Rattus norvegicus: one gene and its partners. The protein of the gene in region 2 purifies or fractionates together with the protein of the main gene of each other region. This does not show direct contact. Links are inferred from orthologs where the notes say so. Each region holds a gene or a part of one and is shown on either strand. Other genes may lie near its edges.

The links.
Region 1: the proteins of Eif2b1 (region 2) and Eif2b5 purify together in Homo sapiens (affinity purification with mass spectrometry; 7 studies listed by BioGRID and IntAct, counting the BioPlex papers as one, with this or other methods). This does not show direct contact. The link is inferred for Rattus norvegicus from reciprocal best matches to the Homo sapiens genes EIF2B1 and EIF2B5.
Region 3: the proteins of Eif2b1 (region 2) and Eif2b3 purify together in Homo sapiens (affinity purification with mass spectrometry; 7 studies listed by BioGRID and IntAct, counting the BioPlex papers as one, with this or other methods). This does not show direct contact. The link is inferred for Rattus norvegicus from reciprocal best matches to the Homo sapiens genes EIF2B1 and EIF2B3.

What each region holds. Positions count from the first base shown.
Region 1 is NC_086029.1:93,905,738-93,910,618, forward strand, and holds the start of Eif2b5 (translation initiation factor eIF2B subunit epsilon), read right to left. Parts: upstream 3,064-4,881; 5' UTR 3,028-3,063; coding exon 2,848-3,027; intron 1,831-2,847; coding exon 1,706-1,830; intron 863-1,705; coding exon 677-862; intron 597-676; coding exon 419-596; intron 331-418; coding exon 250-330; intron 1-249. UniProt on the Homo sapiens protein: Acts as a component of the translation initiation factor 2B (eIF2B) complex, which catalyzes the exchange of GDP for GTP on eukaryotic initiation factor 2 (eIF2) gamma subunit.
Region 2 is NC_086030.1:37,692,157-37,695,714, forward strand, and holds the end of Eif2b1 (translation initiation factor eIF2B subunit alpha), read left to right. Parts: intron 1-345; coding exon 346-421; intron 422-1,607; coding exon 1,608-1,733; intron 1,734-1,996; coding exon 1,997-2,161; 3' UTR 2,162-2,674; downstream 2,675-3,558.
Region 3 is NC_086023.1:135,726,999-135,731,904, forward strand, and holds the start of Eif2b3 (translation initiation factor eIF2B subunit gamma), read left to right. Parts: upstream 1-1,843; 5' UTR 1,844-1,941; exon of another isoform or gene 1,942-2,065; coding exon of another isoform or gene 2,066-2,163; intron 2,164-4,882; coding exon of another isoform or gene 4,883-4,892; coding exon 4,893-4,906. UniProt on the Homo sapiens protein: Acts as a component of the translation initiation factor 2B (eIF2B) complex, which catalyzes the exchange of GDP for GTP on the eukaryotic initiation factor 2 (eIF2) complex gamma subunit.

The DNA of each region.
Region 1 (4,881 bases), on a different chromosome or scaffold from region 2:
AGAAAACACACTATGCTAAGGGTAGGTGCTTTACAGTAACAACGTCCAGAGAGCTATCAAAGCCATAGTAACTGGCTGTAGGACAAACCCTAGATTTGGTTCCCAATATACTGGGAATGAAGTAATTGTGCTTCTCTACTGTACAACAAACCAGAAAAAGAGGGGAAAGATGCATCCCCTGGACTTGAAAGGGAACAGACCCCTAGAGTTTTGCTCTTTGGCTATGCAGCTCTGTTCTGAAGAGTTCACCTGAGGAGAGCAGATGCTGATGTGACAATCCAACAAGTCATATCGAATCTCCACTCCGTCTAGACTGCCCTGGAATAGGCCCTGAGGGGAGAAGTTACAAAGGCTTTAGCTCATCTCTCCTCTCGAAGCTCCTCCCTCTTCTACCTGAGTTCCCCAGACACCCAGTTACCAAAGGAAAGGAGAAATGGCGGAGGCCTTGGGTCTTCTGGAAGTGAAGAATCCTGTTTGTGGTGCTATCCACAGCTAGCACCACATTGTCCTCATGGCAGCGTGTAGGGTGACTGGGTGAGGACTCTTTGAACACCATTGTCATGACAGACACATTTTTTTCTAGCTTCCTTCTTAACCTATAAAGAAGGAGGGGCAGAGTTAGTCTTAGGACTCAACTGGTCCCTAAGTCTTGTCCCTGCCGTCTTCCCCACCTGACCTGTGTTCCTCCAGGGCTTTGGAAATATTGATATTTGAGACGACATCTCCATATATCAGGAGGAAATCAGAGCGCACCAAGGCCTTGGCATCGACATCACGGAGGACATCTCCTAGTGATCGGTACAGGTCTGATGTGATTATTCGAACAACATTGAGGGACGTAGGATGGCACCATTTGGATTTCCTGTGGGAAAGTGATGAGGAACTATAAAGTAAACAGACTATCACAGACCTGACCTCTAACCTCCATTCAGCATTTATACTCCTCTGTGGCTTCTCTGGCTTCCTGCCAGCGTCTCTGGCTTCAAAGAGACGCGTGAACCATAATAAATGGTTTCGGCTTCCAGTGTCATTAGTTTTATGTGTTTGAGAAGTATGACCATTTCCTTTCTATACCTTGACTCCCGTCTTGAAATGTGAGTTTGAATTTAAAATCCTATGAAATCTAGGCTATGAAAGTATTCTGGGAACACATTTTTTTTTTCAAGTCATCTTTCTTGTTCTGAGTCTGTATCAACTTTAAGCACGGTAACATGGAAAACATGTTCAGTATACTAGTCTTTACTTCCAAAACTCATAAATTCCCAGACTAGCTCTTCCAAATTTTAACAAGCATCTCTTAAGAACTTACAGTGGGCTTGAAACTAAGGAGGGCAGTGGGGGAGACAAGGGGAAAGAACTTGTTCCTGTCACTGGGGGGTCAGAACAGACAGTGTTTAGAAATTCAGTGGGAAAATAAAGATGCTCTTCCAATAACATACCCACTGGAACATAAAAAGCAAAACTCACTGGAACGAACTTTGAAAGACTCAGAAAATCATAGCCAAGCCTTTCGATTTCCATCACTGAAACCTCAAGGCAAAGAAAGCTCCAGCAGCTTCTCTCAGGACACGTGAAGAAAACACTAAATCATACACGAGCTCAGAACAGATGCAGTTTTCCTCATGTCTCTACCTCGTCAAACCCATGCTGGAAGGACTGGAAAAAAGACGGTGAAGCATGGAAAGGAAAAATTCCCGAGCCTTACTGTAAGTGTTCTTTGATCTGAGCAGCCTTCCAGCAGCAAAAGACAAATGTTTCCTGTACACCCGTGGCAGTCAAGAATTCCAGAGTATAGTCGATCAGCGCGACATTGGCCAGGGGCAATAGGACCTATAGGGCAGGATATGAAAAAGTCTGAGGTCTTCAAGCCATTATTATACTTCAGGTACCCCACTGCAACAATGTGCCTTTCATCGGGGCTTGCAGACACTACAGTTTGCTTTACCCTTTTATTCTAAAGCAAATAGGCCCAAAGGTTCAGTCTAAGATTTGGGCCTAGTAGACATGGTATCAGACACAGAATATGTTATAGGAAACCAGGGCTGACATTAAGGACAAATGTTGGCCCTAAATCATAGCTCTATAACTCTAAGCACTAAGACCTTCTTCTCATAGAATTTCCTCCTATTGACACTGAGTCACAGAAATCATTCAAACACTTGTCAAAAGTGAACAGTCGTTAGCCTTAGGAATTCTTAAGTAAAAGGCAAATCCCTGTTTGCTGAGGGACCGAGCAGTCTGCAAGCCCAATACCAATGTCCTATGTCTAGGTAGTTCCAAGGCTGAGGGGAACCCACTCGGTTCCCCTTGCAGCAGATGGGAGGAAAAGAGCCCGTACCAGGCCGAGATCTAGCCTTTTTCCCTTTAGGTATATATTACCATCGCTTTTTGAAGCATTTTTTAAATTGCCCATGTCCTGCAAGGTTAGAGGCAATGGAGGCCCCCTTGCGCTACTAAATCCCCCTGGGAAGGCTTCTTTCAAACACTGATTTTTTTTTTTCCTTTTCTTTTTTTCGGAGCTGGGGACCGAACCCAGGGCCTTGCGCTTGCTAGGCAAGCGCTCTACCACTGAGTTAAATCCCCAACCCCCTCAAACACTGATTCTATACACAGCCCTCTCAATCCTTCTCAAGGCTGGGCAGACAGCCCTGCGAGAATCCATATTTGCTAGCTACTCATCTGGACGGACAGCCACCGGGGTTTCAGTCAGTCCCTCCACTTTCTCTCAACCAGAAAAACTCAACTTTATGGTAACTTTCAGAACACGCTTCACTAGCAAGCTGCAGTGGCAACTTGTAGCCCTGCTACCCTCCAGGCCCGCAGGTTGCTCGCGTGCCGGGTCCTCACCCGAGGCTGGTCCTTGGAGATGGGGAAGAAGCGGCGGTCGAAGCTATCGGCCACTAAAACTGCCTGGAGGGGCGGCGGCGGCTCCTCCTCCGCACCTTGGGTTCCACCGCCGCCGGAGCCGCCGCCGCGTTTGTTCGCTCGGCCGCCTACAGCGCTGGGAACCGCCGCAGTGGCTGCCATTTTGCTTCGCAGTCAGCACGTCCGCCGGGAAGCCACACCGCACGCAGTAGGGGACAAAAAGGACTCGCAGTCAAAACGCGAAGGTGTGATTGCAAGGAGAGAAAGAGGAAGGAGTGCGCATGTGTATACTAGCAGGCCCCACCCACCCCCGTGCAAGGCCAGAGCCGGGGCGTGGCAGACCGTGCTAGTTTTGTAGGAGTTGGCGGTACTGGGTGGTGCACTTACCACGGAGGGGTGAGATCCCACCGTTGTCAAACTCGGTCAGCGAGTGCTGCTGAGTTAGGCAAGCTAAGATGGCAGCGAGCTGAGTAGGCTTGTGATCGCCCGGCAGGAGTCTGCAGCTTCCCTGCCCAGAGCTGGAGAAATCGCTCATCGGTTAAGGGCACTTACTGCTCTTGCAGAGAATCCAACTTCGGCGCCCAGCGCTCACGTGGTGGCAAGCAACTATGCACAATTGCAATTCTGTGGTGTCCAACTCACTTTCAACTGGACACATGCCTGTGGAATACATACAAGCTGGCAAAACACTCTTCCACATAAATCTAAAAATTAAATGTAGCTCTCCACTTGCAATTCTAGTCATCTAAGGGGATCTGTCGTCTTTGGGAGGGAACCCACGATCTGCCCAAATACTGAACGTGGAGGCAAGCGGTTAATTTTTTTTTTTTTTTTCGGAGCTGAGGACCGAACCCAGGGCCTTGTGATTGCTAGGCAAGCGCTCTACCACTGAGCTAAATCCCCAACCCCAAGCGGTTAATTTTACGGAGCACCCGCGGATTATGGGCTAGGTCGTGTCCCTTCCCTCCTCCGTGTCCCCTCCCTCCTCCCGTTCTGGAAATACGACCTAAAGCACGGGCATTTCTTAAACATTTAAATCAGACCAAGGAAGCACGCCCAACTAGTGAGTGGAAAGACTGGTGCTGGGGCTCATCTGACTCCCTAGTTCCACAAGCGTTATCACAGAAGAGGCTGGATCTAAGAGCAGCAGTAAACTGTAGGATTGGGGCGTAGTAAGCAAGCTTTTCAGGCTGGACGCTGAAGCAGAGCAACAGGTTTCGGGAAAAGAAGCTGTGGCCGCAGTTTATAAATCAAGCTTAAGGCTGAGGAAGCAATGGCACACAGCCTGGGCGTAATTCTGTCAAGCCAAAAAATTCCTGTAAGCAATCTGTGCCCATTCAGCACCAGAACCTCTGCTAATCCCACAGCCTGCAGGTTTCAGCAACTCCCTCTGTTGCTTCCACCCACCTCCCCCAGATGCCCTCTCTCCCCACAGAGAGTGGTTAGTTTGTGTTTCTACAGTTTAGATTCCTCATGGAACTCAGAAACCTGTTATTTCTTTCTTCGCTCAGTTAAGGAGGGTGCTGTGAGAACAACATTTGCTTTTGAAAACGTCGGTACAAAGAGGGAAAAGGTTAGTAAAAAAATTTCAATTAAATCAATGTAGTACAGGTCACCCAAGGGTGTATATTTCCACCACCGACTGAGACAGGAGGAAGTGAGATCTGCAGTGAGGCCTCGCGACAACTGATCAAACGGGTAGGCAAACACGACCAAAATAAAAGAATGTATACATGTACGTTCTGCGTGATTGATTGGTTGCGCTACAGATCTTCATGAAAAAGAAAAATGTGCACTTGTGGGAATTCTTACACGGGCACACACAGGGCTCCCAGAAATGCTGGATGTGGAGTTCAGGGGCTTGTGAAATTAGGTAACACTGCCCCCTAGAGATCAGTGTGATGCAATGTGCCTGCACCAATTCCCAGAGTCTATGTCATAGACTTTATGACAGAGGTTGTTTGTTTGGTTTTTTTTTTTCTTTTTTGTTTTTTGTTTTTTGTTTTTTTTTGCGAT
Region 2 (3,558 bases):
TGTCAGGGTGCTGGCATGAGCCTCAGCCTAGCTGCTCGTGTTTTCAGAGTAAAAGGCAAAGGTCAGGCTATGGTCAGCAGTAAGGTATCCTCCACTCTGTGTCTGCATATGGGCTGTGCAGTGGGCGCCTTGTCTAAGCTGAGTCATCCGTGTCTGTCACTAACAGATAGTAATCCTTTGAAAAGAAAGCTCACTATTTAAGCGGTTGGGGGTTCTGGGATAAGCATCTTCGTGGTACTGTCTTAAAAAGTAAGCTGTAACACGCCTGCTATCCAGCACCGGGAGGCAGAGGCAGGTGAATCTGTGAGCCTGGCCAACCCAGTATTTCCCTTCCCATTTCCTTAGCTATATCATGGAGAAAGTAGACCTTGTCATCGTTGGTGCTGAAGGAGTGGTAGAGAATGGAGGAATTATTAACAAGGTGGGTACTGTCACTATTCCCAGAAGCCCCGGCAGCCTGAACAAGACTTTGGTCGGCCTTCTTCCTTGGAGGCTGGTCTTGGTGAATTTAGTCAGTGGCATTTGCATTTATATACAATAGGTCCATTCGTTTGGACCTGGATTTGACAGGGTATTATGTAGCTCAGGGTAGCCTCAGATGGTCAAACTCCTGTGTGTGCCCCCCAAGTGCTCAGATCATAGGCATGACCACCATACCCCAGCAAACTGGATGCAGCTTGGAATTGTCTCTGGTTTTGTTTCCATTTGATTGAGGACTTCCATCCCCAGGGTTTATTGCGATTTCTTTGTCGCTTACAAAGTTTTTGGAAACTGTCTGTGACAAACACCTTAATCATGTTAAGCTGTGCACGAACCGTCCTAAGTCCCCGGTTCACTGGCGTTCAGCACACTCACACCACACAGTGTTTATAAAACTTACTGTTTGTCTCAGATGGCCTTTTCTCATGTCCCTGGTCACCTGTGTTCTGCTCTGTACTGACTTTTCCAGTCCAGGGGACCACAAATAAGTACATTCACAGGATGCTCGTGACTTTGAGCTTGACATGATTCGGTGGCCACAGTGCAGTATGTAACTGCTGTGTCCTTTCAAGCAGAGTACAGTTCTGTCATGACACCACCACGTGCCCATGTTCACTTGTAGTGGATACTTGGATTTTCCTGCTGTTGGCCGTGGTATAGGGTACTGCCGTGTACACTGGACCACAGGTGTCTGAATCCCCCAGAAGTGGAAAGTGCTGGCTTATCTTAGACTGCACTTATTTTCTCTGACTGGTGACCCTGGCATCTTTTCATGTACTTTGGGTAGAAAAATTGTTTTCTTTCTTAAAAGGTCCTCTTTGAGGATTAGGATTATAGCTTAGCTGGCAGAATGCCTGTTTAGCATGTTGAAACCCCGAGTTCAACCCCAGCACTAGATAGACCAGCTCTGGCGGAACTCAAGTAATCCCAGCACTAGGGGGAGTGGAGGCAGGAGGATTAGAAGTTTTAAAACAATCTTGAATGCAAGGCCAGAAAGAAATACATTAAGAACTTGTCTTTAAAAAGCAATAGTTCTGATGGCCATGCCTTAATTACACTTACTCTCCTTCCTTCTGCTTCATTGAGCTATGTAAGCTCACCCGGTGTCCATTTCCCTGACTTCTCAGATCGGAACCAACCAGATGGCCGTGTGTGCCAAAGCCCAGAACAAGCCCTTCTATGTGGTTGCAGAAAGTTTCAAGTTTGTACGGCTCTTTCCACTCAACCAGCAAGATGTCCCAGATAAGTTTAAGGTAAGTTTTATGTATTTGACAGTGATCTTTGACTCTACCCTGAAACCACAATGGTCCAGAAAGTTCCCCTTCCCATTGCTGTCTCCTCCAGTGCTTTTCCAGTGGGGATGGTGATTGGACCTGGGCACACTGGGGCAAAACCTCATTTACATAGCACTCTGCTGGGTAACAGAACCCGTCTCTTCGTCCCATCTCTGCCTTTACATACATGTGGCCTTGGCCAGGTACTTCCATTGGCCTCTCCTCTCCTTGCCTTTCCTCAGTACAAGGCAGACACCCTGAAGTCTGTGCAGGCTGGACAGGACCTCAAAGAGGAACACCCATGGGTCGACTACACCTCCCCATCCCTCATCACACTGCTGTTTACGGACTTAGGTGTGTTGACACCATCCGCTGTAAGCGACGAGCTCATCAAGCTGTACCTGTGAGCAGTGCCCCTCCTGCCAACATGCAGGGAGCACATCTTGTGCAGGGTGAGCAGCCTTTCCACTCCAGCCAGCCAGGGGCCAACAATGGGACTTTCAGACCTGTATGCCAAGGGCTCATTTCAGAGGCCCTGAAGAATCCTTTTACTCTTGCTGTCACATCTGAAGCCTGGTCCCAGTTCTAGAAGCAAGGTGAAGCAACCTTGTGGTTTTTAGAGACTCAGTCTCCGGAAGAACAAGTTAATTACAGACTGCAAAGCTGAGGAGAGATGGCACAGGAGCAGGGACCCCCCAGCCGTGCTGCATCACTGAGAGATGCGGTGACATTGGCTGAGTACACACCTTCAGTGCCTCACAAGACAGCAGACACTGTAGCTGACGGCATCTGGCTCCATGCCCTCAGCAGGATCCAGCCAGATAGAAAAAACACCAATGCAGGAGCCATTCACATGGCACTGTCACAGAATGTTGTCTGTAAAAGATGCGAGTTTACTCTAAACATGTTTAAAACCTGAACCGTGGGTTTTTTGTTTTTTGTTTTTTTTTTTTTAAGTTAAATGTGAGAACAGGCCAGGATATTTTCCAGTAAGTTGTATGAACAATTTGGATATGGTATTGCCTCACACAAGTTGACAAAGACCAGAAACAGTGCAAGCACAGTTGGGCAGAACCTGTTACCAGAAAAGGCCTAGCAGCACTTCTCAGGATAAGATACCCTTCCTGTTTTCAATAAAACACCACCAGAGCCCGTTCTAAAATGTTCTCAACCCCAATCTGGGTATCATGGCACCAGCCTGTGGTCCCAGAACTCCTGGCTAAGGCAGGGGGTCAGTCTGAGGTCATCCTGGACTACATAGTTGTCTTAGTTTGGGTCTCATTCCTGAAAGAGACTCCATGGCAACTCTTACAAAGGCAAACATTTAGCTGGGGCTGGCTAGTAGTTCCAGAGGTTCAGTCCGTTATCATCATGGTGGGAAGCCTGGCAGTGTACAGGCTGATGTGGGGCTGGAGAAGCCGAGTTCTACACCTTGATCCAAAAGCAGCCAGAAGGCTTTCTTCCACACTGGGTGGGGCTTGAGCCTAGGAGCCCTCAAAGGCTGCCTACGCCATGACATACCTCAAGGCCACACCTAATAGTGCCGCTTCCCATGGGCCAAGCATATACAAACCACTACAATGGTGTAGCCCTGTTGCAATGAAAAGAAGAGAAAAAAGAACCCTACACACAGTCCCCTCTGCCCCTGTGGGTGCTCTTGGTAGGGCTGTAAAGGAAATGCAAAGTGTGGGGTGGGAGGAGGCCAGGGCATGTCAAGTGACTTAGAAATTTACAAGGCCTAAAATCAAGTATACTTTATTATCTGTTTTCTTAAAAGTGAGAAAAATACATACATACATACATA
Region 3 (4,906 bases), on a different chromosome or scaffold from region 2:
GGTCTTTCACAACAACAACAACAACAATTAATAAAAACAGACAAAACTTGTCCTATTATGTTCATCAGCTCAACAATTTCTGATCAAATAAGCAATCACTCAAAATAGTTTGAGCCAAGGGCATGGCTCAAACAAAGGCCCAGGTCATGCTCAGGCTGTGAAACTTCAGTTTGGACTCATGTTCCCTTAAAGTTGTCATGGTTGTGACCTTCCCACTCCTACTTTTGAGACAGGTCTTATTTAGCCCAGCCTCCCTCGGCCTTCTAGTGCCGGGATCACAGACACGCAATAGCACGCACCACCATACTCAAAGCCATTATATGCCAATGTGAAGACAGGACTGTAGAACCTGGGCTGCAGACGCCATGGGGCTTTGTTTCCTCCTGAGCTGTTTGAGTTAAGAGGCTATAAAAAAAGAGTGCTTTGGGGCTGGAAAGATGGCTAAGAGCACTGACTGATGCCCTCTTCTGCTGTGTCTGAAGACAGCAACAGTGTATACATAAATTTTTAAACATTTTTTCTTACATTCATGTTCCTCCCTTTAACCTACCCTACAAGCTGTTGGAATATGAATTCTCTTCCATCTGACGCCCTCAGGTACCCTTCCCTCACCCCCTCTCCCTCCCCCTCCCCCTCCCTTCTCCCTTCCCTCCCCTCCCTCCCCCCCTTCCTGCTTGATTTCTGTGACCTTGTTGCCATTTGTTGAACTCGAGGACTCAAGGGGGAAGAGGGGGTGTCTTTCTCTCTTGGGATTTGTTTGTTTTTTGCTCTTTGTTTTTCTATTTTATGGTTGTTTTTTTTAAATGATTTTATGTCTATGAGTACACTGTAGCTGTCTTCAGACACACCAGAAGAGGGCGTCAGATCCCATTACAGATGGTTGTGAGCCACCATGTAGTTGCTGGGAATTGAACTCAGGACCTCTGGAACAGCAGTTCAGTGCTCTTATCCACTGAGCCATCTCTCCAGCCCTTGTTCTTTGTTTTTCGAGGCAGAATTTCCCTCTGTATAATCCTGGTTGTTGTTTGTTTTTTGAGAGAGTTTCCCTGTGTAACCCTGGCTGTCCTGGAACTCATGCTGTAGACCAGGCTGGCCTCGAACTCACAGAAATCCACCTGCTTCTGCCTCCCAAGTGCTGGGATTAAAGGCATGTGCCACCACCGGCAGGATCTTTGCACTTGTTGTCTAGGCAGCTTGGAAGGCTCTTTCCCAAGGCTCAACCTGCTTAACTCTCTTCAAACCATTAAGTGCCATCAGAGATGAATTTATTGTTTGATGGCTAAAGTTTGATACAATCAGGCATCTTACACACTGGAAGCCTACCCAACCACTGACCTGCAAAGGAATTTGGTAGGGAGTTTTTGTTGTTGTTCTTGTTATTTGTTTGTTTGTTTGGTGCAGGCCTTTAATTCCAGCTCTCCCGAGGCAGAGGCAGGGGGAATCTCAGCAGGTGGATCTCTGTGAGTTCGAGGCCAGCCAGGTCTACAGAGTGAGTTTCAGGACAGCCAGGGCTACACAGAGAAACCCTGTCTTGAAAAATCAAAAAACAAAATAAAAAGCACTGATACTCAAAATTTGCACCTTGAGACTGAGGTTTAAAATGGCAACTCCCAACGGAGGAAATTGAAGGGGACACTCAGCGAGCACTGGATAGCAATATAGAAACTCCATACCACAGTTCACGGGCTGCTTGGTTTCCAACACGCTCAGCACCGCCAAGAGCAGGAGCGTCTCTGCTCTGTGCCATCTATTACTCGGCACTCGTTCCTCCTTCCTGAGTCGGCACGTCATATCGAACCGCTCGGCCACCGCGCGCCTGCGCCTTTGGCTTGTCAGCCGGAGGCAGCGTGGGGAGCGCTGGGAGCGGCTACGGCGTGCGGGGAGCTGAGGTAAAGCCGGGGCTAGTACGGTACCAGGCGGTGCACGAGCTGGCTAAGCAAGGTGAGCGGCACGCGGGTGCGGAGAGCCGGGTTCGTGTGAGGGAGGCCAGGTCGCTGAACAGGGCCCGAGTGGGCAGACGGGGAAATCATCAAAGCGAGTCCCTGCCGGCCCCAGCCATAGAGCCATGTGTCCCAATTGGGGAACTGGAGAATCCAAGCCACCTTGTGCAACAGATGGAAAAACAGTTTCGGGGAGGGACGGTTCTGCTCGAAGTCACACCAAGTGAGCACTGACTCCCTTGGTGCCTTGCTGACATGCTTTCCACATTATTCATCCCACATTTGTTTGGGCTCAAGGCAGGGACTAAATGGGATACAGTAAGGCTCTTTAGGCAGCGCTCAAGGGTTTAGCAAACCAAAAACAATGCAGTGGTCGATCTTACCATTTTGAACTGGAGACGGCAATTTACGCTGTGGGGAAGGCATGACTGAGACTTTGTAAACGCCTCCTATAAAACTTGGAGGCTGATGAGACTCACCGGCTTGATATCGGCAGTCAGTCACTACGGAAAAGTTGAGACTTTTGAGTCTGTTTAGCCTTACGATTGATTGGTTAGGTTCCTAAGTATTCTTGTTTCTTAGGTTGTGGGGTTGGTTTGTTTGTTTACCCAGAGATTGAGAACAGGAACTTTAGGTTCTAGTCACCTGGGTTTTAAATGCCCCCTTTTGAGCTTAACACTAATGTTGGGCTGCTGTGAGGTTCACAGATGCTCATTCCACACATAGTACCTGGCATCTGACTGGGAGTATCCTGACAACAACTTCAAGGAACTCAGTCTTAATAGGCATTTAAATGAATGCCTGCAATGAAGCCTATAAAGGCTGATGCAATCTGTACAAAGTATAGTAGAAGCCACTAGTGAAAGAAGTCCCATCATTGGTGTGCAGGGTTAGTTGTAGTATCATGCTATGGAAGATGAATTTTGAGCTGAGTTTTTTAAGAGTTTGGTTACTTGGCCCAGGAGAAATCCAATCTAATGCAGGAGTCCCAGTAAACCTGCAGTCCCAGCTAATAAGGTGATAGGATGGAAATCACTTGAGCCCAGAAAGTTAATACACACTTTATAATCAGGTGTTAGTACTAGACTCACAAGCATCAATATGGAGACCTCTAGAGGAGTCTGGAACCACCAGGTTGCGTGTACTGATCTGTAGTGGGGTCACATCTAGGAAAGGCCATCACACTAGCTGAGACAGCATAGTAGTACCTATCCACTTCAAAAGGACCTATAGGAGGCTGGAAAGATGCCTCGGTGGTTAAAAGCACTGGATGTTCTTCCAAAGGACCCAGGTTCAATTCTCAGCACCTACACGGTGGCTTATAACCATCTATAACTCCACTTACAGGGGATCTGACTCCATACATGCACTCAACATAACACACACATAAAATTTTTTTTTTTTTAAAGATTTATTCACTTATGAGTACACTGTAGTTGTCTTCAAACACACCAGAAGAGGGCATCAGATTTCATTACAGATGGTTGTGAGCCACCATGTGGTTGCTGGGATTTGAACTCAGGACCTCTGGAAGAGCAGTCAGTGCTCTTAACCGCTGAGCCATCTCTCCAGCCCTTTTTTTTTTTTTTTTTTAAAGATTTATTTATTTATTATATATGAGTACACTGTAACTGTCTTCAGACAGACCAGAAGAGGGCATCAGATCCCATTACAGATGGTTGTGAGCCACCATGTGGTTGCTGGGATTTGAACTCAGGACCTCTGGAAGAGCAGTCAGTGCTCTTAACCACTGAGCCATCTCTCCAGCCCATAAAATTTTTTTTAAAAAATTATTTTTTACAAGAGAGATATATAGACCCAGAGTTATAGAACAGTATAGTTCAATTGGTATAGTGGGGTTTCCATGATCTAGCATCTGTCCAATAATATGAAACATGTATATAGTGCTTGTTATAGGATGAACATTATTTTGCGTGTTTTATGTAGAATTACTTTTTTATTCCTGTGTACGGAATATAACCTAAGTCCTCGTACATACTAGACAAGTGAGCCCTCATTTAATCCCAGCAGCTTAGTGAATGTGGACATGTGTTTCCTAAATGCATAACTACAGCATGCTCGGTCAGTATATGTATTTTTTCAGGGCTGGTCATTTGATAATGGATAACCAATTGATGTTCAGTTTCACTTGCTCTCAGCATTTCTTAGTTGCCTGTAATTTTTTGCTTAGGGTTAAGGCCTTGTAAGCTTTCTCTCTCAGATGTTAAGTTGTCTGTTACTATTATCCTTGTTCAGTCTTGTTTAGGGAGCCATGTTGGTGACACTTCATGGTTGTATAGTCTCTGGCATATCTAGGAGACAAACCCATGGCAAACATTCCTGTCCCTCTGTCTTTCTGCACTCTTATGATCACCGAGCCTTAGCTGCAGGACCTTCTTACAGGTATTAGGTGGAACGGGGCTCCACAACTCTTTCTTTTGATCAGTTGTGATCTGTAATGGTCTGATCTTTTGCAAAGGGATGTTTCCTTTGCAACATGAGAACTGCAATTCCCCAGCTAGTGTTTTTGAGATGGGGGTCTCTCGATGTAGTTTCGGTTGTGCTGGAATTTACTCTGTGTTGACCAGGTTGGCCTTAAACTCATAGAGATCTGCCTGCCTCTGCTTCCCAAATGCTGGGATTAAATATGCCACCGCACTGGTACTTGGACTTGTCTGATCTTAACTATAAACAACTCAAGGGTGCAGGCCAGATGTTTTTAATTTATATTACTCTGCTTTTACTAGAATTGGAGCTAAAACTCATGTTGGCTAGAGAAGGCGAGAAAGATGATTTTGCTGCAGTTAGGGAGTGTTTCTTACTTTGGTAACTAGAGCAGAAGTGATACATCTGGTATAGGTGGGAAGTGCTCATGTAAATAGAGACAAATCGTACTGTGTGTCATTTGATTTAAGTTACTCTTTCTCCTCCTGTGCTTGCAGATTTGTAAAAATGGAGTTTCAAGC